Linked DNA regions of Arabidopsis thaliana. The protein of the gene in region 2 interacts with the protein of the main gene of each other region in a pairwise test. Each region holds a gene or a part of one and is shown on either strand. Other genes may lie near its edges. The genes, in order: RHL2, AT1G60460, ATSPO11-1 and SPO11-2.

Region 1 (4,168 bases), on a different chromosome or scaffold from region 2:
TCAAGACACCAATACATTCTCTCTCTCATGTAGTAACTTTTTGACTCGGTAAACATTTCAAACGGGAACAGCATACATGCAGCTTAAGTTAGGACAAAAAAATCAAATGTTGTTGAATTTTATGCCAGTAGAGACTAAAAAACACTTGTAACTAACTGAATCTCCTTTGCAGGTGACGTTGTAATAGATGATGTGTTGATTATCATAGGAACCGATGAAGCAAATACCGTTTCAGGAAAGCAAGAGATTACTGTGCAAGAAGCGCTAGTGAAGCTTCTACGAGATGAATTGTCTCTTGTGGTTCTTCCTGCTGGACAAAGAAATATCATACAGGATGCACACTGTGTAGATGATGCAGACCAAGAGAACACTAAGTCATTTGTTAGTATATCCTCAACGAGGAGACCTGCGATTCTGGAGAGGTTGATGGTTACAAAGGCGTCTCTGTATCAGTGGTTGCAGCGCAGAAAGTAGCTGCCTCCGACTGTTACATTACTAATCAGTCATCATTGTATTTTATGCTAATTCAAACCATATGCAGAAAAGAATGGGGAAAGATTGCATATCATCTCAATGCCCATCATATTGTATACAATCTTCTAAATAAACAAAAGAGTTGTCTTCTAAATAATCATCTGACAGCTATCTTTCCAGTTCTGTGTAGATTCAACCATAAATTTAAAACCAAATTTCGATCTTTGCAATAATAATTCACATGCTAAGAAACAGGCAATTGCATTATCAAAAATTCGAAATTTGTAGAGTACACTTGTTGGTCTATCTAATTGATCAGGAAGAAACCTGATTATCAGAGCCAATCCTGCTGCTGCAGTTTCAGGGGCAAGTAAACTTCCGATAAATACTGGAAACCAAAAGAGCTCAACGCCTGAATCTCAGCCTTTTGCTTCGTTTTCACCATCAGGTTAAGTTCCTCGACCCACCCGGGATTTTTCTTCACGAAATCCTCCTCTAGCATATCCTTCCCGGTCTTAATATCCTGCTCAGTCATCGGCAACCTACACTGTTCAGGTATCTTATACTTGTCCAAATCACTCGGCCTAATTCCAAGCCACTTAATATCAGGCGTAGTCAAGTTTGCACTATCATATGACATGTTCTTCGACCCACATCCATACACCGACAAGATCTTCAATCCGTAAGGATCACTATCCACCAAGGCAAGTACCGGAAGCTTAAGCTCCATTTTCATTTTCCTCAAGAAGAGCCTTGTAGCTACATCAGGCTGGCCTTTTGCAGTCACGATGATACAAGGGAACCGGTTATAGAATCTGTCTTCAGCTAACCTCATATAAGCTGCATCTTTTTCAACTAAGAGTATGAACATAGCATCACTCTGCATATCTCCAACCCGGTCAATGTTTGGTGGAATGGCTTTCCCACCCATTCCCATCTTTGTGCAATCTATCATGTCTCCATTGTCACTGAATATAAGCCTTCCCACCACCACACCTTTCTCTGCTGCAATGACATTGAGACTTGACCTTGTGCAACCGAGCATACATGAGACATCATCCAACACAGCATCACTCTGTGTCTGGTCCTGAAAATTCAGTAAGGTTGCGAATTGGTTCAAAAACCTTCCAAAATCGAAACTACAAAGAATCAATGCTAGAACTTTCGATTCAGGTTTACAAGAGCTGGATCTAAAACAGTGACTATCATTCTCTATTTAATGGGAAGAAAGTATCATCTCAAGTAAAATTGAAAGCAAGAAGAACCTACCTGGAAAAGCTTAACGTCGGTGTAGAAGAGATCACGCTTAGTAACGTGAATGTTCCTGAGGCAGAGTTGGTGGATAAGGGCGAGGATACGAGTGGTGATGGTGGTTTTCCTGACAGAAGAAACGGAGGCAAATGGACGGAGGGTAGATTTGTCTTTTAGCACTATACGGTCGAGCTCAGGAACATACAGCTGATTCGAGGCGGCGCGTGAAGGAACACTGAAGGAGAAGCCATCACCGGCGAGAATAGAACGGGCGATCTGGACGATGACTGTCTCTATCTCTGTCTGCACGGAGGAGAGTGAGAGATCTGCGACTTCACGACAGGAAGATGATAGAGAGAGGTCAGCTAGGGTTAGAGGTTTCGATGAAGAGGAGGAGGCACCGCCGGCTCCGGCGGCGGCTTTGATAGAAGAGGAAATATACGATTTGAGAAGCTCCGTGATAACGTCGTCTGATTCCAGAATGCTTTTGAAAGGAAGTTCCTCCGCCTCGTCATCTTTTGATCGCTTTCGCTTCTTCTTATCCGCCATCTGTAGATAGCCACGACGACGGAGACGCGGCGGCCCAGAGAGTTCTGGTACTAACAATGGCGGGAAAATTTACCCTTTAGGTCAACGTATCTCGTGAATGTTATTTCTAGGGTAAACTAAAGGGGTAGACTTAGAAACGCATTTATTAAGTTAATTAATTGTGCTTTTAACGAGATGTCGATATGTCCGAGTGGTTAAGGAGATAGACTTGAAATCTATTGGGCTTCGCCCGCGCAGGTTCGAACCCTGCTGTCGACGATAGTTTTTTGAATATTTTTTATTGGGTTAAAATCTTTTTGAATGGCCCATATGGTAAGCCCAATATTAACTACATCTATAAAATCTTTAAACGCTAGTCTCTTCCGCCAAAATCTATTCAACGGTCCAGATGAGTTTACCACTTGACGTTTTCCTTACCCACCATTACACGTGTCAGTTCAAAAAGATCTTAATAATCTGCCACTAGCCTCCTGAACGACTGTTTTTGATATACCATCCACGTCACTAATCCTCGCCAATATATGATGTGGAAATATCCGCTCTGACGTGGAACTTCTCGAACGTTCGGGACCTCTAGTTTTGTCCATGTCAGATATTACGATTTTTTAATTTCCTTTTTTTTTTTGTTGGCCCGAGACAAATCTTTCTAATATCTATCTATCTCCGGAAAAATAAAAATCGGTGGCTTATGGTCGTCTCCGATTTCCACTCTCTGGGAGACAGAAAAACCTCATAATCTCAAAAATTGTTCACTGTGTTTATCTTCCTTCTAAAGTTCTAAGAAGCTTCGATTCTTAATTCTGTTTATCGATTTGAATTCCTTGTTTCTATTTCCCAACCGTTAGCTGATTGTGCTAGATCCATTTTTCTGGTGATTGATGCAACTTCTGGAGCTCGATTCTTCGTTCTAGTATTTGATTATTGTAAGATCAGTACTCTCTTGGAATTTAGATGCTTTTGTATGGTTGGATTTTTATTTGATGTAATTTGTCTAGATTCGATTTTTTGATGATTCTTCAAAAAGTTACTTGATTAGTTGGTTTTTTGAGAATTCGTCGTTCTTCAACTCTTTTTTCTGTTAATCTGAGATATTGTACGATTCTAACTCCTCTAGCTATTGCAATAATCGAAATTAGGGTTTATGGCTGTGTTTTGATATTTTGATCATTTGAATTCAGCGAAGCAGAGTTGGTGTGATGAATGCTAATGAGGAGGGGGAGGGTTCACGTTACCCAATCACTGATCGAAAGACCGGAGAGACGAAATTCGATAGGGTTGAGAGTCGGACAGAGAAGCATAGTGAAGAAGAGAAAACTAATGGAATTACTATGGATGTGAGAAATGGGAGTTCAGGTGGACTGCAAATTCCATTGTCGCAACAAACAGCGGCAACTGTCTGTTGGGAAAGGTTTCTTCATGTGAGAACCATTAGAGTTCTGCTTGTCGAAAATGACGACTGCACTCGTTATATCGTTACTGCACTTCTTCGCAATTGTAGCTATGAAGGTCAGTTTTGAAGCCTATGGCCCAACTTTAATCTATAGCGCATATATGTACCCGTTTCGGTTCTGTTTGTTGATTGATTATTATTAACTCTGTCATGGCAGTTGTTGAGGCGTCAAATGGGATACAAGCTTGGAAGGTGTTAGAAGATCTAAACAATCATATTGATATTGTGCTAACAGAGGTGATCATGCCTTACTTATCTGGTATCGGTCTCTTGTGCAAGATTTTGAACCACAAATCTCGTCGGAACATCCCTGTCATCAGTGAGTTCTTTTTCCTTGGTCGTTTTACATTGAGCTCTTTCTTTTGAAGTTACACGATTTGTTGAGTCTTCTCTAGCGTATGTTGGAAAGTAGATGCTTTTAACTACATTCCCCTGTGAGATTTG
Region 2 (6,002 bases):
CTATGCTTTGGCGTCACCCGGAGAACGTGGAGCTGGAGAAAGTCAAAGTTGTTCACTACTGTGCAGCTGTAAGTAGTTCTGTCTTTGCTTTGAAACCCTGAGCCCCTTAAGCTTGTTGCTGAAATTTGATTCCTTTTTTCTGTTGATAGGGATCCAAGCCATGGAGATACACAGGAGAAGAAGCTAACATGGACAGAGAAGACATCAAGATGTTAGTTGATAAATGGTGGGATGTCTATAATGATGAATCTCTCGATTTCAAATCGAAAATCCCTGCAGATGCGGAAGAAACCGTTACAAAATCAAGCATCCTAGCTTCCGTTCTTGAACCAGAAATGACCTACTTTCCTGCTCCTTCTGCTGCTTGAGATATCTTGCAGGGAAGTCACAAGACTTGGTGTGTTCCTCTATCTGTTTTCTTTTGATATATGTATACATAGTTTGAAATAGTATTAACCAGAAAATAGAAACCTTGGTGAGTTTTTTCTCGACCCGAGAGGTTTTCAAATAGTATTGCTAAAGTGTGTAAGTGTTAAAGTACTAAGGAAATGAAGTGTTTGTATTGCTATATTTATGTACGGATCAGAAACATATCACTGTGAAGCTGTACAGAACAAATATACTACTAATGTTAAGCCTAGAATCAGAAAGTGCCCTATTGACTATTCCTGCAGCATAGTCGCCAGACATTTGAACTGTGTATAAGCTTTAGTTGCTGTAGCATCATATTCATGCGTGGAATTTTCTCGATCTGAATGTGATTGAAAAACAAATAGAGAAGTAAGTGATGCAAAATTGTGTTACTGGCTTTGGACAAACTAGCTCAAGAACACAACAAACTTGCAGATTCTTACAGATTTGATCATGTAAGGCTTTTATAAACAAGTCTATCCAAAACGATGAGAATTTGTAAGCAATAACATATGCAAATGCGTAACATATATTTTCACAATTTTACTATCTACTTGTCAGAAGCAGATGTATCATTCCAGGGAGCTAGAGTAATACTCACCTTCTACTTCCTCATCTTCAAAGAACGACGTCTCAGACTCGCCATCAAAAAACAGAAAAGGAGCAGCTTCTTGGTCTTTCTGGGGTTTCCTCTCATTCATTCCTATAACCGTCACGATCTTTCTCTGGATATAGTTCTCGACTGTGTCACGCTCAACTTCTTGTGTCTGAAATCCAAGAACAGATAGGCAATCTCCTTGGAAGTCTAAGTCAGTAGAGGAGAATATTAGGCCTGCTATTGATCTTGCAAGGTCAGGGACATAGCTGCAAATCTAAGAAAGATAAACAACAACAACAAAATCTTGGTCAAACCTGTATAAATTTAAGAGATTGACACAAACAACAAAGGAGAATAACCGAGAGAGCACCTTACGAGAATGTGAGCTTAGAAGAAAACCCTCATGTTTAGCCTTCAAATTGTCCAAAGCATTTTTTATTCCCTTCTTCAGAAGACTTATACCAGGCCCATTCTTCTGCCTTGTTGGATATTGATTGTGATACCAATGGAGGGCGATTTGTATTTGAACATATGAAGGGAAATTGTCCCACTCGAGAAACACATGTCCGTCTTGATCATTCACATTCGCCAGGATCAAACCATATTTTTTCCAGTCAATCTTTTTCAATGCGCTCAATGCCAAATGTGGAACAGGGGAAGGTAAGAAATTGTCAAAGTATAGAACCTGGGGAAATCCATTAGTTAAGATCAGCCAATCATACATCACATCTCAATATGAGCTTTTGTATTAGAGTGAGTTTAACAAACCTCTGTTTTGCCGTTGCATGATCTGCTGCAATGCTGAGTTGACTCTAGCAAGTCACTTATCACAATAACCACTTCCATCGTCCCTCCAACTCTCTTATGTTTGTCTTCCTGGCATACTGTTCCACTTCCAACTTTTAGATGCTCTCTGAAAGTAAATATACCAAGATTTGTCAGACTTAACTAGTGGAACTGGAAACAAGAATGGTGTTACATTTTATATAAGCCGAAGTAAGTTAAGTCGTAAGAGTACCAGAAACAAGAATGGTGTTACATTTTATATACCTATCAGAGAAGCAATAGTCACACATCGTATCCAAACAGTTAGCATGCCTTAAAACATAGTCCTCAAGACCAGACTTCAACCGTTCAAGATTGGAGGCAGTAAAGCATGGAGTTTTGTCAGCGTTCACTGCAAAGACGTATTGAGTTTGATTACCAGGAGAAGTCCCTTGTTTAACCATCAGATCCAATGTGACATTCTGAGAGGAAGAAAAGAATCAGCTTTGTAATTCCATGATTTGTTTGGTTCTCTTTCTAAATTACCATGTATAGGGAAACCAATTTTCTAGACAAAATTGTAAATCACCAAAGGGAGTCACTTGAACTTACAAGTATCTGTAGAACAATGATCTGCAAGAAAACAGGATACAAATATCATTACAGTGTAACTTAAGCAATCATGAGGGAACTAAGTTGACAAAATTGACTACACTCAAATGATAGGGCCAGAAGGCCAACAATACCAATTTAAAAGATATGCTAAATATAAACCACTAAACAAGCTTCGGTTATTCATGATACAGATTCATTGCTTGACCAAATTAAAGCAGTAGCTTAAACACTGGTTAACTAATGAGCGACCTTCAAACATAAACTTTCATTCCATTGGAATTCAGTACGGTTCTTCTTCCCTTAAAGATGTAATATTTTGGCTCTTTATCTTGGTTCTATAACAAGTGGTTAGCAGTGTTTTTGTAACGTTGTGTTCTGTACTTGAATCCAATTGAAATAAGTAGTTACAAGAGCAACAAGGTTGCAGAAGAGAAGGGAAGACCTTTTGAAAGAAGCCAATTATCGGTGCCACGAGAACATCCATACTTCCAAAAACACTCAGGGATACTTCAGTCCCACTGAAAACAACACAATCCGAATATATAATCAAGTCAAGGGCACTCACAGTGGCTTAGAAATCAGTGAAATAAGATATAAATTGAGGAACTTGCACACCTAAACTTTGCACCATTCTTAGCCTGAGAAGGTTGTCTTTTCAGTCTTTTGTTCGCTATATACTCATCCAGATTTATATGATAATAGTATACCTCATCGTCAGTAAAGCCTGCACTTCCATCACCACAGTGGAGGAAGAACAATAACAAGTTACTTAGTTTCGGTGACTCGAACTTAATGTAGACAACTAACAATCAATCATATAACCCAGAGAGGAAAACAAGATATGTTTCTCCATTGGACTTACAAGCAAAACCAGGAAAAAGGCTAAAGCATTTAAAACCATAAGCAAGATTTGAGGTCAATATAGCAAAACTTACAAGTCGTTTTGACGGAGAGTAACCCATCTGCAACACATCATTATCCACAGTCAGAATCGCATTAACGTATTACAAAGATAACAGAGAAGCGAACAAATTCAGCTCAATTTGTACAATTCTAAATAAAACTAAAATTTCATAGTTAACATTCAATAATCGAATACTGAAGATGCTAGTAATGTAACTGACCCCAAATCTTCGCTCCATTGAATTCTCTTGGGCACCTCAAATTCTGAAATTCCTCCAAATTGCATCCAATTCCCGTATCGGCAACTATACACAGCATCAAATAGACAGATAATGTGACCAATTTAGCGAAGACAGATTCGATTTTCATCGAGGGCGACGCAGAATCAAAAACAAAAGAGAGTGAAATTACTCGAAATACAAGTAATCGGAGGATCTCTTTCGGTGGATTGGTCAAGAAGAACTGATAATCTACAGAGATCTTCTGCTAAACGGCATCTTTGGAAAGCAGATGAGATTAACTACAGAATTTGAATTTCTCAGAACAGAAAAAATAGAAAAATCTATGAAAAACGGAGAAAGATCGATCAGAGAGTGGTGAAGATGATCGGTGACTTACTTGTAGAAGAAGCTTCGGAACCGGAGCATTGTTTTCCATGGCAGAGATTCTCCGCTTTCGAAATTGTCCCGCGTATAGCTAAAATTTTGAATTCCAAATCCTCAAGCACTGTGTCACTCTTCTACAAGTAGTCCAGTGAGTGTCAAAATAGATACAAGGATATCCACTAGAAAAATGATTTTGGGCAAAATATGATTCATAATTATTTTGATATAAAATTACTATTTTTTTATTAGACATATTTCTTAGAAATAATTATTTAATGTAAGCTCAAATCTGACTAAATCAATTTAGATTTCTGTTTAACACTTTAATTGTAGTCTTAAAAGTTATATAATGAATTATTTACTGAATTTTTTTTATAGTAATTTGATATAGTATATTTTCATAAATGGAGAAGAAAAAAAAGCCAAGAAACAAAAATATGGAGGAAATAGTTTGGTATTTTGTTTTGAACCCCATAATGAATTACTAGCTAGGCCATAAACTGATGGCATTCCGCTGTCAAATATATAGCCAATGAAAATCTAACTAATATAGAGAAATCATATTTTGAAGTACATTTTCATGAATCTAAATTCTTGTTGGTCTATTCCAATTAAAAAACTAATGAAGAAATATTGAAGAGGTAAATACTAAAATAGATAATCCTTTTCTTTTTTCTTACAGCAGTAAGCAGCTAATCTTATAGTAGCATAAACAAATAATATGGAACCCCGATCAATCAGACCAATCAATCAACCATATAATAACTGTAGAAACCATAAATGGGCTTACTGGAAAATATTCACGACTTACTGAAAATTTCTCATTGGTTCACTAACAAAGTATATGTGTTACAGAAAGGAGGTTGTGGAAGTCATGATCATTATTAAAAAGACGCTAAGCCTTTCCATTCGTGCGCCACACTATTCTTTTGTCTTCGTCGTTTGCTGACTTCTAGTTTTCAGCCAGGTATGAGATCGAGGAAGTCTTAGAAATGAGTTCTAATTCATTCACACAAAATGTCCTCGTGACTTTTTCCCAATTTCTTTATATACAGCTTCACTAGTAAGGTTTTAGTTGTTATTTTCTCCATTTTTATTTGACGGAGTTGTTATTTTCTTACCAGTCAAAGTCTTAATATTGTTAAATAATTAATATCGAGAATTTGGAAATGTGTTTTTATATGTATGTTTGTTCAAATGCTCTAACTTTGTTTATTTTGTATAGAACATGGTCGTATGGAAGTTCAGAAGAACGTGTAATAGAAAAATATACGAGTACGCTAGTCCAATAAACTCGGACGACTTGTATTCGACTTGTAAATCTATGAATAGGAAAATAGATTACAAATTCATTTAGGTATAGATATAACTTTAAATACTTAAGCTAGCTAAGAGCCTAGTATTTTATTTTTATATACGATGATGACCTATTCATAACGACCGGTACTGGTTAAACTGTAATCTTTAAATTTCCTATAAAATATTTATCATGTGTTTGTAATTTTTATTTGTATCATTTTACTTTTATAAAATACCGATACCTTATTGATCATTGACTAGGTTATAAACATTTATCACTATTTTTTGTGAAACATGCCTTGGTTGGTCCGTTGTTGAAGAGTTAAGTAAATTAAATAGACGGATGAATCTCATGCTAATAAAAAAAACAGACGCGTGGAAGTTTTGGAACACCGGTATGATGTTTTCGAAAAATAATACTCATATTTTGTAAAATAATTATTGGAAACTAGAAAAAAAAACAATCATATCACATAGTTAATAAATTATCTGTCTCGTTTAAATCGTTTTTAAAAACAGAACTGTTAAATCTACAAAAGTGATTTTCAACACGGTGTGATTCTTATAATATTTAGTCCAACGCTTCATGGAACGCAAGTACCACTTAGTATAATTAAAAGTCCTTCTCACCGAGATAAAAAACAAAATCTCGTAATTACATCATCCCACGATTAAGACAAACACAAAGAAGGGTTCCTTTCCTTTCAACAACACCGGTATTATATATAAACTCATAGTCCATTGGTGCTCTAACATGTCACAATTTGGGTTATAATATGAATTATGTTTAATGCATTCGAGTTCTA
Region 3 (5,165 bases), on a different chromosome or scaffold from region 2:
GCCACGAATCCTTCCTTTGACATGTTTGGATACTTGTTCTGCTCCTCCAGGATCTCCTCGACCCACTCAAACTTCTTGGCTGCGGCGAGACGGCGAACGGTTCTCTCATAGACAGCTATATTCTTCCGGAACCACTCTGCTTGGCAGGCTTTCTTGAACTTCTCCGTGATGAATTTGGGGTCGCGTTCGTCATTTACGAGGGTGATGAGGGACGGTTTGGGTGGCGAGGGTGTGGCTGCAGCAGCGGTAACGGCGGAGAAGAAGCGGCGATTCGTGTGGGTGCTGAAGCTGAAGTTGCCACGAAGGAGAAAGCGAGAGAGAGACGACATCGTTTTTAGCTGTATGCAAAGGTTTTTCTCTTCTTTTTTTTGGATCGGAGTGTTCAAAGGTTTTTAGTCAGGGGAACGGCTTTAATACTTCAAATTAGGTTTGGTAACAATATAAAGCAAATGAACCCTAAATTACTTTTGTATTATTCAAAATTTCAAACTTATTACTCATTAGTCATTAGTGAATGTACTTTGTATTATTAAAAATTAAAAACTGAGAATTATTTTTTATAATCTGTATATTTATGATTTTTCCATTAAAACTATGTTCATTTGTCCATTCTACCAATGCATTTGGTTTGCACTAAAAAGCTTAGAAAGAGTCATAAAAAAAACAATGAGCATTACCTTGAGTTGGAGACTAGTTATCTCGTATGAAGCTCAAGGAGAGCTTACTTCACGACGAATCTTAGAAGGAATATATACCTCTGACAAAAAGGACAGTGAGTGAACTGAGAGTGCTTCGATCTCAAACTTGACCCCTCTTTTCAACATCGTTTCAAGTTCCAACCTTAGACGACCAAAATCGTTTTGATCAAGACTAGTTTTTGTCATTTGGTTGAAATGTAAATATAAAAAAGTCAGGGAAGTTTTTCATACCTCCATTGTGGCATTTCACGCTTCAGGTAGCATCTAAGCAACATTGCTTCAGTTCTTTTCTTATCTGTCCGGGGAAGTTGTTACAATCTCAAAAAAGGAAGCAGTGAAAAATAGGAAAATCTAAAGATTTAAGGCGATAAGGTGTTTAATGATCTCTTACCTTCTTCTGTCAGTGGCAAAAGACACTGTTTGGGAACACTATATACCTCAGAGTCTGAAGGAAAAGCTCCCAACCATTTCATATCTGGTGCTCGTAATGATTCAATATCATAGGCCATTTGCTTACAGAAAGAAAACAAGTGACATAAGGAAAATGGTTCAAAATGAAATGGGTCAGTGCCATATCACATTATCACTATCAACAAAAACAATGCAAGCGGTGAAATTTTCCGAGTTCAGTCATCTATATTTTGTAACAGAATCTAACCATGGAGCCAAAACGGTATGTGGCTAGGATCTCAAAGCCATATGGATCACAGTCGACTAGACAATGCACAGGTAGATGCAACTTCTCCATCAGGAGTCGCAAGAACCTGGAAAGAATCTGTGTTATTCGCTGATATATTAATCAATAGAAGATAATGTCTGATAAAATAGTATTCCAGGAACCTGGGATTAAGTTATGTACCTTCTTGTTGAGACATCTGGATATCCTCTTCCCTGCCAAAAACAATCGTAACTTTGATGTCAAACATAAAATGGAAATGAAAACTAGTCAAAACTGAAATCAGTAAGAATGAAGCAGATTTCTTACTGTGATAACAATGCAGCGGTTCGTCTTGCAAAACATGTCATTTGCTAAACGCTGGAATACTATAAACCATGGATGAAAGCGATTTAGTCATGAAGAAAGAAAACCATCTTCCTAGTTACTACATAAATAAGAGGTCTTTCTTACCTGTTTCTTTTTCCACAACCAGTATGTACTCAGCTAAGCTAACAATATCTGCAAGCAGGAAAATGACATCCAATTATAGTTCCTGATGCCACCATAGATAGTGAATCTTATACTTCCTGATATCAGCTGAGATAAGGATTTGACTTCTCTAAAGAGCATAAAGCATCACTTAAAATGATTGCAAATATATGTACCTTCGACTTCCTCTACAAGAACAGGAACGGGATATGCCTGAAATGAAATCACTTGCAGAGTTATACTTCCTGATGCCAATATAAAAAGTGAATCTTATGTTCAAATTCTTACAGTGTTCAAGCTGTTTAAACAATCAAATTTCCTTCCAGCTTCCCTAAATTTTAACCAACCCATCACCAACCTACAACACAAAAGAATAATGAGGTGGATCTTAAAATAAGGACATGCCTCAAGATAGAAGCATTGCACTCGTTATCAAGAGCACCCACCCGTTTCCAACAGAAACCTGCAAAATATCACATGAATGAAAAAGTAATCACATCTTCAATCGCAGCTTATAATAACTCTTCAGAAGGAAAATTGAAGGTGAAAGTATTAAAGTACTAACCACATTCAAGTTGTACCGACTACACTGAAAAAGAATGCATATATCACCAATTGCACGGTCCACAATGGATTGTGCTGTGAAGTAGACGAAAACAGTGTTACTAGAAGGCCAAGAACACAACAAAGAGGGATGCATAACTAATATCCGTATAAAAATCTCAATACGTATTCGTTTAGAAGAAAAACATAACTAAAACATTATACGTTGCTTCCAAATTCACCTTTGAAAGCTGATGGATGCATGTAGTAGATATCTCTTTTCGAAGCATGTCTATTTTCTTGCAGAAGTTGTTGGACTATCAACAATACTCTTAGCAACATATCTGAAAGTAAAAACACCGCAATGTGATGCTATATTAAGATAACACTAATGTACTTGTAGAATTATCTGAAACCTGACTCACCGATTCTGTAGGTTTGTGGTTCCTTCTTAAGAGTGAAAATTTCCTGACCCTTTGGTTTATCAGAGCTGCATAAGCTATAGACAGCAGAATAAAATGGTAAATTCATGAGGTCTTAGTTTTCAATACTCGTTGACGTTGTGCTTAAATCCTTCAAAAATGTCTCGAACCAAAGACCAAACACGTCTGATTCTTCAATCAAAGAAAGTGAAAACAAAATTGAATAATCGAGATCGAAGAGAGACAAACCAATCAGCTTCTGGATTCATGCAATAGTTCCTGAATTGATTGATGGAAATTTTTGGAGATCTTCCTTCAGCCAGATCTACAACGACCGATTGAGTAAAATCTGCTCAAAAAACCGAAACATAGTGATGAACAACGGAAGAGCCAGCGAAGTCATCGACTAGAAATTTCGACATAGATTAGAGGACAAATTACTCAATACGATTCGGAAAATTTTGGGATTTTCTGATACCTTTGATCCTTTGAAGCAAATTAGTCGATTCTGAAATAGCGAATTTTCCCTCCATCTCTTTCGAGTTTCAAAACTGAAAAATGCAATGGTCGACGAATTTTTGTAGACGGGAAGAAAAGGGATGGGTGCGAAAAGCTTGCCGTTAAAACCTTCGAATTTAAACATGCGTGTCGTTTAGTTCCTACTTTCCATGACGTTGGGCCATTGGCATTTAGGCCCGATACGTAACTGACGTGTCATTTTAAAAACGCATGTGTTTTTAAACACGTTGGGCCGTTGGCTTTTAGGCCCGATCCGAAACTAGGCAAAGTGATTGTGAAAAAGATTCATGATAACAATCAAACCAATATAAATCGATTTATTCAGACTTGGAGACATTTTAGTGATGCCAATATAAAATAATCATGTGCACTAAATTTGAAATAATTAATGTGTATGGTAAACTAGATTAGAATTAGTTCTAGACTTCTAGTGGTCGAGATTTGTTCATAAGCTTTATGCTCGGACACGTGAGGAACATACCAAAATGTTCGAATCTATTATGCCATACACTTATTTTAATCATTTCTTCTCTATGATAGATTGCTCACCTAATTTATATATAATCTAAGAATATACTACTTAGCTTTAACGTATTTTATCCGATAACGAATTCATGATACCAAAAAAGTTCTAAAACAAAAGAGGCATCTTGTATTATTTATAGTATTTCTAACTAAAACACAACACTGATAACATTTAAATTGCTTTGTTCCGTTTAATTAGTAAACAAATGAAAAGCTGTCGCGTCGGTGGTTGGGTTTCATTCGGAAAGATTTAAAAGTAAAGCGCACGGATTTTAAGGTCGTTCAACATTTAAATTTTTTTTGAAAGTAAAATCATATATCAATGCAATGTGTAATCTTGTAACGTATAAACTAATGAGAGATACCTAAAGAAAAGAAGCCTCGCGCCTAAACAGAAACATAAGATTAAAATAAGTAATATAGAAGCATAAACTTAAGCAAGATTTTATTCCTCGTGAAAATATTACATTTTGTAATTTTATTTTCTCTAGTATTAAAAAAGGAACAACTAATTAACGGAAATACTTAAGGAATTAAGAACAGAGAGGTCTCATACTTAGTCAAGTTTGGTGAAGCTATCAAAGAGAATGTCTTCGTGTTGTCCGCCGACGACATAGTCAAGAATCCCTTCCGCCGCCACTTTTAAGCCTGCGCCTTCGCCTGGGATGATGGTAGACGAAACCGGGAGATCGGAGGTGCGTGCGAAGAAGAAAACGGCAGCGAGAAAGAGAGCCGTGGAGAGAAAAAGTGGCCAGAAGTAAGATAGAACGGTGAGGAAACCGGGAGAATAAGCGACGAGAGCTACGGTGAGGAGAGATAAAACAAAGGCAAACACGATTTGCAACTTGAACTTCAAAAGCTTCTCCCGGAACTCCATCTCCGATCACCGACAAAGATCTGTGAGTCTGTGACTGTTGTGTTAACACGAGAAAGATGGAGTGAAGAGAGATAGAGATATATCTAAAAGAGAGATAGTACAATGCTAACTCTCTCTCTGTCTTTCCTCTGAGTGTCTATACGTAAAGAAATAGGAAAGATTCTCTGTGACAAGGATAACGTCAAAATCTCAAGTTATTTTGTTTTTAAACGCGTTTGAAAATTATACTGTTTTTCTTCTAACGAAAATGATAATATATTTTTAAGATTTTTATGTTACTTTGTTCTGTGACTTGTATGAACATTTTTTTTTTTGTAAAGTTGTCGTAAAAGTCAAAGAATGAAACATTTTCTGACATAAATAGTAAATCGTACAAAGCTAAAATAATGATAAGAGAGATATTTTCAATTCAGTTATAATGTTGTCCGTTTTGC
Region 4 (4,951 bases), 1.5 Mb from region 2:
GTGTTCGTTACGAAGGGAAGAAAACCTCTTTTGATAACAGTGATGATGATGATGATGATGATGATGATGATGACGAAGAAGACGAAGAGGAAGATGAAGACGAGAGTGAAGCAGATGATGATGACAAGGACTCTGTAATTGAAAGTTCTCTTCCCGCGAAAAGGAAGCACGATGAAATCATTGAACCCAAAATCAAGTTAAAGAACCTGTGCAAGCAGATTGTTAAAAAGGTTCGTTGTCAATTTATTTTGAACTGTCATTGTATTCTTCTAAAACATCCCACCACTCATATCGACTTATATGTATATGTGCAAAAACATTCTTAGGATGCTGGTAAAGGTGGATTCATGAAGCTGAAACAGCTAAAATCTCTGATCGATGAACAAGCACCATCAGTTCTTTCAGAGTTTTCTTCAAGAAAAGATGCTATTGCTTACTTGAAACTTAAGGTAATGCAATCTTAGCTAATCTTTATGCCAAATCTTCGTATAGAATCTACATTAAGCGTATGAAATTCATTATATTTGAGATTAAAGAAGTGTGATAGTGAAGTTAGTAAACATAATCATTTTAAAGTGGGATTCTCATATTCTACACAAAGTTCCAAAGTTTGTCATTCTTACTGATATTGTTCTAACGTCCTTGTTGCAGCTGGAGCGAAGTGGCAAGTTTGTTGTGGAGGGAAAGAAGATTAGTCTTGTATCAAGCAAGAAGTGAGCGAGAATTTTTGGTTGGAATTATCATTATACCTGCATAGGAAAGTGGAGATTAGGACAAGTTTTGTTACTAAATCATCACAATGCCATATGTAAACAAAGATCATACTTCAGTTTGGAAAATTTTGATTTGATTGTAATCTATTTTTACATTCTATTAGAGTTTGCATAAAACTTCACCCTAATAAGTTACTCTCTTATATTTGGAACCAATATAAAGCAAACGCATCTTTATTGGTGGAAGACCTTACATGTTGGTGTTTTAAGTGTTATATGTATTTGCCTTGCACGATCTTGGTAGCTATATATTTACCGAGATAATTATAACCATGACAATAGAGAGCTTCAATTTCCGCTCTTTTACCAGTTTGAACCATCAGTGACAACTCCTCTATGTAGTTTTCCTGGTCAGAAGCAAATGTCAAAATCAATTAGGGTATAAATGATAGATTATAGATTCGAATCTTAGAATTGCTTCGGCTTGACCATTACATCTGATCTCTGCTTATAATGTATAATGTATAGTTGGTTACCTGCAATATTTTGGAGGACAATAAGCTCTTAGCAATCTGTGAATCTTTTGGCTTTAAGGGAACCAAAGACTCTTCTGGTATCAGATTCAGATCATCTCCTCGGAGACCAATCCACTTCACATTGCAAGCTAAAGAGGATGCAGAAATTATCATTGTAGAGACTTGGAGATTATTTGGTGCAAACAGCTAAGTCTTTACCGTATCTGTATGCTTCAAGTCCCATCCCTATGCTTCCAAACTTGAAGGTGCATAGTATAGCTAACCCAGCTGGATTCCTGACCTCTCATTTATGAACATATGAGCACTAAAGTTTTATGTTAACAAAGAGGAAGATGTTTATTTATGCTTACCAATCAACTAGAACAAGAATTGGCAGATCAGGAAAAGTTGTGCTCATCCGGTGGAGGAAAAACCTAAAAGATTTAACTTCCAAGCTACTTAATACCACTGACTACATTGCAATATGGTTTTGTAACTGAGTTGAAGAATTGACCTTGTGGCAATATCCGGATACCCTTTCGCTGTGATGAACACGCAAGGAATGTGATTGAACACACGATCTTCCACGAGCCGATGAAAGATCGCATGCTAAAAACAGATTCTAGGAGTGAGTTACAGACAATTACGACATCTCTCATATGTGCTTGATTACATCAAGAAGCTACCTTTTCCACAATAATGATATAACGAGCATCAGTTCTCATGATGGTATTGTCTAGCAAATTCAAGTCTCCAGTTATAGCAAAACCTGAAGAACCACAGGCCGAACAATCTACAGCTTCCTTACCTGGTTCCTGAGTGTAAAGTAAAGAAATGGTCAGAGATCACAATGTTAGCTACATAAGGATTGCTAGAAGCAAGTAATAACTCACTTGTAGAAATAACCTTCCAGCAACAAGGCCTCTGCTTGAAGCCATAATACCAAGACTGTATCTACTACAACGTAGAAGTGCTACCACATCTGCTAAACCAAAGCACGACCAAAAAATCAGCTCAAAAACTCTTTAATCCAAATGCAATTAAGCTTTAGATTGACCTTGGACACTTCTGTTAACTTCAATCTGAGATGAAAAGTAATCAGGTGAATCACAAAGCAACTTATAGAAGAGCTCTCTTTGTGTGACTCGTTTCTCTTGAAGCAGAATCTGAAAGCATATTTCCATAACTTTCCACACTGTTTCAATAAAATCACAACCATTTTCTCATACCATTCTAATCAAAGATTTGGGTGAAGATCACAGAGAGAGACATTGAGCAATTACCACGAACAAAAGCTTTAGCTGTTTTAGCATTCGTCAATGAACTCTTAGTAAACGAAGTAGAGAGGAATATATATGAAACATCTGTGAGTATCCCTTTGTTTATACAACTATTGCTTCTCTTCCTATTGATCTGTTCAAACGATACATTTCAATTGTCTTCAAAAACCCAGAAAATCACGAATTCGAGAAAGCTATAACGCGATCTAAGAAACGGACTTAAGCACGAGATTAAGTAGTACCAGAGAGAGATCGGAGATAGCTGGATCTGGGGAGTTCAAAATTCGGAGGAGATTGAGAACAGAAACTTCGATTCTAGCACGAGCCTGTAACAACGAGCTTCGATTTCAGTCAGAACTACGAGATTCGACAGTGAAGAAGACTAGTGATTCGATAAATTCAAAATTGGAAGCGAAACTTACTTCGTGAGGAAGAAGAATGTCAGCGTAAGAGAGGTGTTGATCGGAGAAGAACTTCATCGATGATAGTCCTGAACTTTCCTCCATTTTGAGATTTTTTTTCCGATTCCGCTTTTTTGAAATTTTGATTTGAATTTGATTGAGAGAGACAGAGAGGCGCGCGTCAAGTTTCGGGATTTGAGATTTGCACTGTCTTCCGTTTTGTTTATAAGAAACCGGCATGCAGTTCATGATTTTTTTTCTCATGTGGAACTAATTGTGTCATATATTTTATTTTATTTTTTAATTTTATATATAAGCCAAAAATTTAGCCTAACTACAAGCCAAAATTGTAATTGTTTTGCGGTTGTATAGTTTTAAGCTATCAATAACTATATTTCAATGTGGTAATCAATTGATTTTTGTAGATATTTAATTTACACAATAAGTTGAATCGGAAAGTTCAATTTTATATACTCTCTTTGTTTTTTATAAGTGATGTTCTAAGCTTTTATTTTTGTTTTTAAATATATGATATTTTAAAATTTTAATGCAAAATTTATTATATTTTCATTGGTTTTGATGATTTTTATTCCACAGATAATTTTTCTATTGGTTTATTAAATAATAAATGATATTTTAGTTTAAAGTAAACAAAAATTAAATAATTTATTAAGTGTGTATTCTCTTAAAACATCAACTAAATAAAAATTATAAAAGAAAAAATATATTTTAAGAAAATGGATCCACTAACATTTGATTTACATTTGTACATAATTTTATGGTTTATGAGAATGAGAAGCTTCCACGTGCATGCATGAGTTTGCATAGGTTAATTACATTTGGATGTATAATTATTCGAGCGGTCAAAGAGATTCTTAACAACCACAACCACAATAATTTGCTTAAGTCCATTTATCCGTATTTAATGCCCAACATTTTACGCGACTTCATGATTTCTATAAGTTTCATTATCGGTAGTATAACTTAGTAGGGGATGTATGGTTGGACGAACGAAATTTCAAAATGAAACTTTGCGAAAACGAAATGAAGGGGGATGCGAAATTCATAAAAATATCCCACTTTAATCATATAAATGTCTCATACTTAGAGTTAAAAGATCAATGATATGTTCAAATTAACCACTATATATAGTCCATATTACGTGGTGGAAATATCATTGGACAATGGAACAAATACGCAGAATTCTTATGGTATCGAGAAAAAAAAATCTTATCGTATTAATTCGTTATATAAATTATTTTTTTTTATATTTTTTTTTGACAAAATGTGAATATTATTAATCCATTATTGTGCATATAAATATCTATAAACAACGACAAGGATGATATAAATTTAGTGATCTAAAACAATCTCTAAATTTTAGCTAGTTCTCAAACCGACCAGACGTGCATTTCAGGCTCACGAGTGTGTGTATGGAGTTGGTACACTATATTTAACCACACGTTTGAAATGCAAATAAAAGCAAATTAATTACTACTTGTTACATGTAAATTTATAAGCAAGTTAAGCCTTTACCGAACATTCCCTTTGTCATGGGAAAACATCAACAAGAACTTTGACCATAAATATAACTAGATTTTGATCGGTTTATATGAAACATGTGAGTAGTTTTTCCACATGAAGTTAAAACAATCGTTACAATTTACATATTCTAAAAACATCAATACATATTACGAATTGGTGCCGAAATATATAAATTTAAATAAGCTAATCAATTTATTCTACAAACTATTCTCAAAATGTATAAGACCACTCAATATATATACCATCGATGTCAATTTTTGTTTTTTTAAAGATTAATATTTACTATTTAGATTTCAAAATATGGGTTGAAGTACATTTGACATGTACATGCATTTTTGGATATATATTAATATATGATTCTATATAATATATAGATCCAAAAACGTTGTAAAGAGATATATAGCTAGGAAAAGGAGGAAAGACTTAGGCAGTTGAACAGAAAAGTTAGGTGAATATAGTTGGCTTCAATATTATACCCTTTAACTCATTCTTCTTCT

Evidence for each region.
Region 1: the proteins of AT1G60460 (region 2) and RHL2 interact in binary tests that used the Arabidopsis thaliana proteins (3 or more experiments, as listed by UniProt).
Region 3: the proteins of AT1G60460 (region 2) and ATSPO11-1 interact in binary tests that used the Arabidopsis thaliana proteins (3 or more experiments, as listed by UniProt).
Region 4: the proteins of AT1G60460 (region 2) and SPO11-2 interact in binary tests that used the Arabidopsis thaliana proteins (3 or more experiments, as listed by UniProt).

The regions. Positions count from the first base shown.
Region 1 is NC_003076.8:640,764-644,931, reverse strand, and holds RHL2 (Spo11/DNA topoisomerase VI, subunit A protein), read right to left. Parts: upstream 2,379-4,168; 5' UTR 2,275-2,378; coding exon 1,744-2,274; intron 1,562-1,743; coding exon 809-1,561; 3' UTR 538-808; downstream 1-537. Other genes in the region: AT5G02830 (Tetratricopeptide repeat (TPR)-like superfamily protein), read left to right, coding at 173-474; PRR7 (pseudo-response regulator 7), read left to right, coding at 3,471-3,780, 3,882-4,043. UniProt on the Arabidopsis thaliana protein: Component of the DNA topoisomerase VI involved in chromatin organization and progression of endoreduplication cycles. Relaxes both positive and negative superturns and exhibits a strong decatenase activity. Involved in cell-elongation processes.
Region 2 is NC_003070.9:22,273,547-22,279,548, reverse strand, and holds AT1G60460 (uncharacterized protein), read right to left. Parts: upstream 4,066-6,002; 5' UTR 3,950-4,065; coding exon 3,911-3,949; intron 3,813-3,910; coding exon 3,704-3,812; intron 3,598-3,703; coding exon 3,514-3,597; intron 3,352-3,513; coding exon 3,325-3,351; intron 3,114-3,324; coding exon 3,005-3,113; intron 2,957-3,004; exon of another isoform or gene 2,908-2,956; coding exon 2,832-2,907; intron 2,408-2,831; coding exon 2,387-2,407; intron 2,301-2,386; exon of another isoform or gene 2,257-2,300; coding exon 2,060-2,256; intron 1,923-2,059; coding exon 1,778-1,922; intron 1,695-1,777; coding exon 1,380-1,694; intron 1,284-1,379; coding exon 1,013-1,283; coding exon of another isoform or gene 984-1,012; exon of another isoform or gene 764-983; intron 752-763; coding exon 663-751; 3' UTR 542-662; downstream 1-541. Other genes in the region: GolS4 (galactinol synthase 4), read left to right, coding at 1-68, 150-368.
Region 3 is NC_003074.8:4,230,850-4,236,014, forward strand, and holds ATSPO11-1 (Spo11/DNA topoisomerase VI, subunit A protein), read right to left. Parts: upstream 3,358-5,165; 5' UTR 3,344-3,357; coding exon 3,289-3,343; intron 3,160-3,288; coding exon 3,060-3,159; intron 2,888-3,059; coding exon 2,814-2,887; intron 2,733-2,813; coding exon 2,631-2,732; intron 2,485-2,630; coding exon 2,411-2,484; intron 2,309-2,410; coding exon 2,292-2,308; intron 2,204-2,291; coding exon 2,134-2,203; intron 2,059-2,133; coding exon 2,022-2,058; intron 1,876-2,021; coding exon 1,828-1,875; intron 1,743-1,827; coding exon 1,684-1,742; intron 1,590-1,683; coding exon 1,558-1,589; intron 1,463-1,557; coding exon 1,357-1,462; coding exon of another isoform or gene 1,333-1,356; exon of another isoform or gene 1,211-1,332; coding exon 1,090-1,210; intron 994-1,089; coding exon 930-993; intron 841-929; coding exon 711-840; 3' UTR 546-710; downstream 1-545. Other genes in the region: AT3G13160 (Tetratricopeptide repeat (TPR)-like superfamily protein), read right to left, coding at 1-329; AT3G13175 (uncharacterized protein), read right to left, coding at 4,411-4,731. UniProt on the Arabidopsis thaliana protein: Component of a topoisomerase 6 complex specifically required for meiotic recombination. Together with MTOPVIB, mediates DNA cleavage that forms the double-strand breaks (DSB) that initiate meiotic recombination.
Region 4 is NC_003070.9:23,742,338-23,747,288, forward strand, and holds SPO11-2 (sporulation 11-2), read right to left. Parts: upstream 3,049-4,951; 5' UTR 3,015-3,048; coding exon 2,931-3,014; intron 2,835-2,930; coding exon 2,751-2,834; intron 2,642-2,750; coding exon 2,512-2,641; intron 2,424-2,511; coding exon 2,286-2,423; intron 2,211-2,285; coding exon 2,122-2,210; intron 2,044-2,121; coding exon 1,915-2,043; intron 1,838-1,914; coding exon 1,743-1,837; intron 1,663-1,742; coding exon 1,600-1,662; coding exon of another isoform or gene 1,596-1,599; intron 1,525-1,595; coding exon 1,448-1,524; intron 1,378-1,447; coding exon 1,250-1,377; intron 1,121-1,249; coding exon 986-1,120; 3' UTR 718-985; coding exon of another isoform or gene 652-717; 3' UTR 505-651; downstream 1-504. Other genes in the region: AT1G63980 (D111/G-patch domain-containing protein), read left to right, coding at 1-230, 327-449, 652-717. UniProt on the Arabidopsis thaliana protein: Component of a topoisomerase 6 complex specifically required for meiotic recombination. Together with MTOPVIB, mediates DNA cleavage that forms the double-strand breaks (DSB) that initiate meiotic recombination.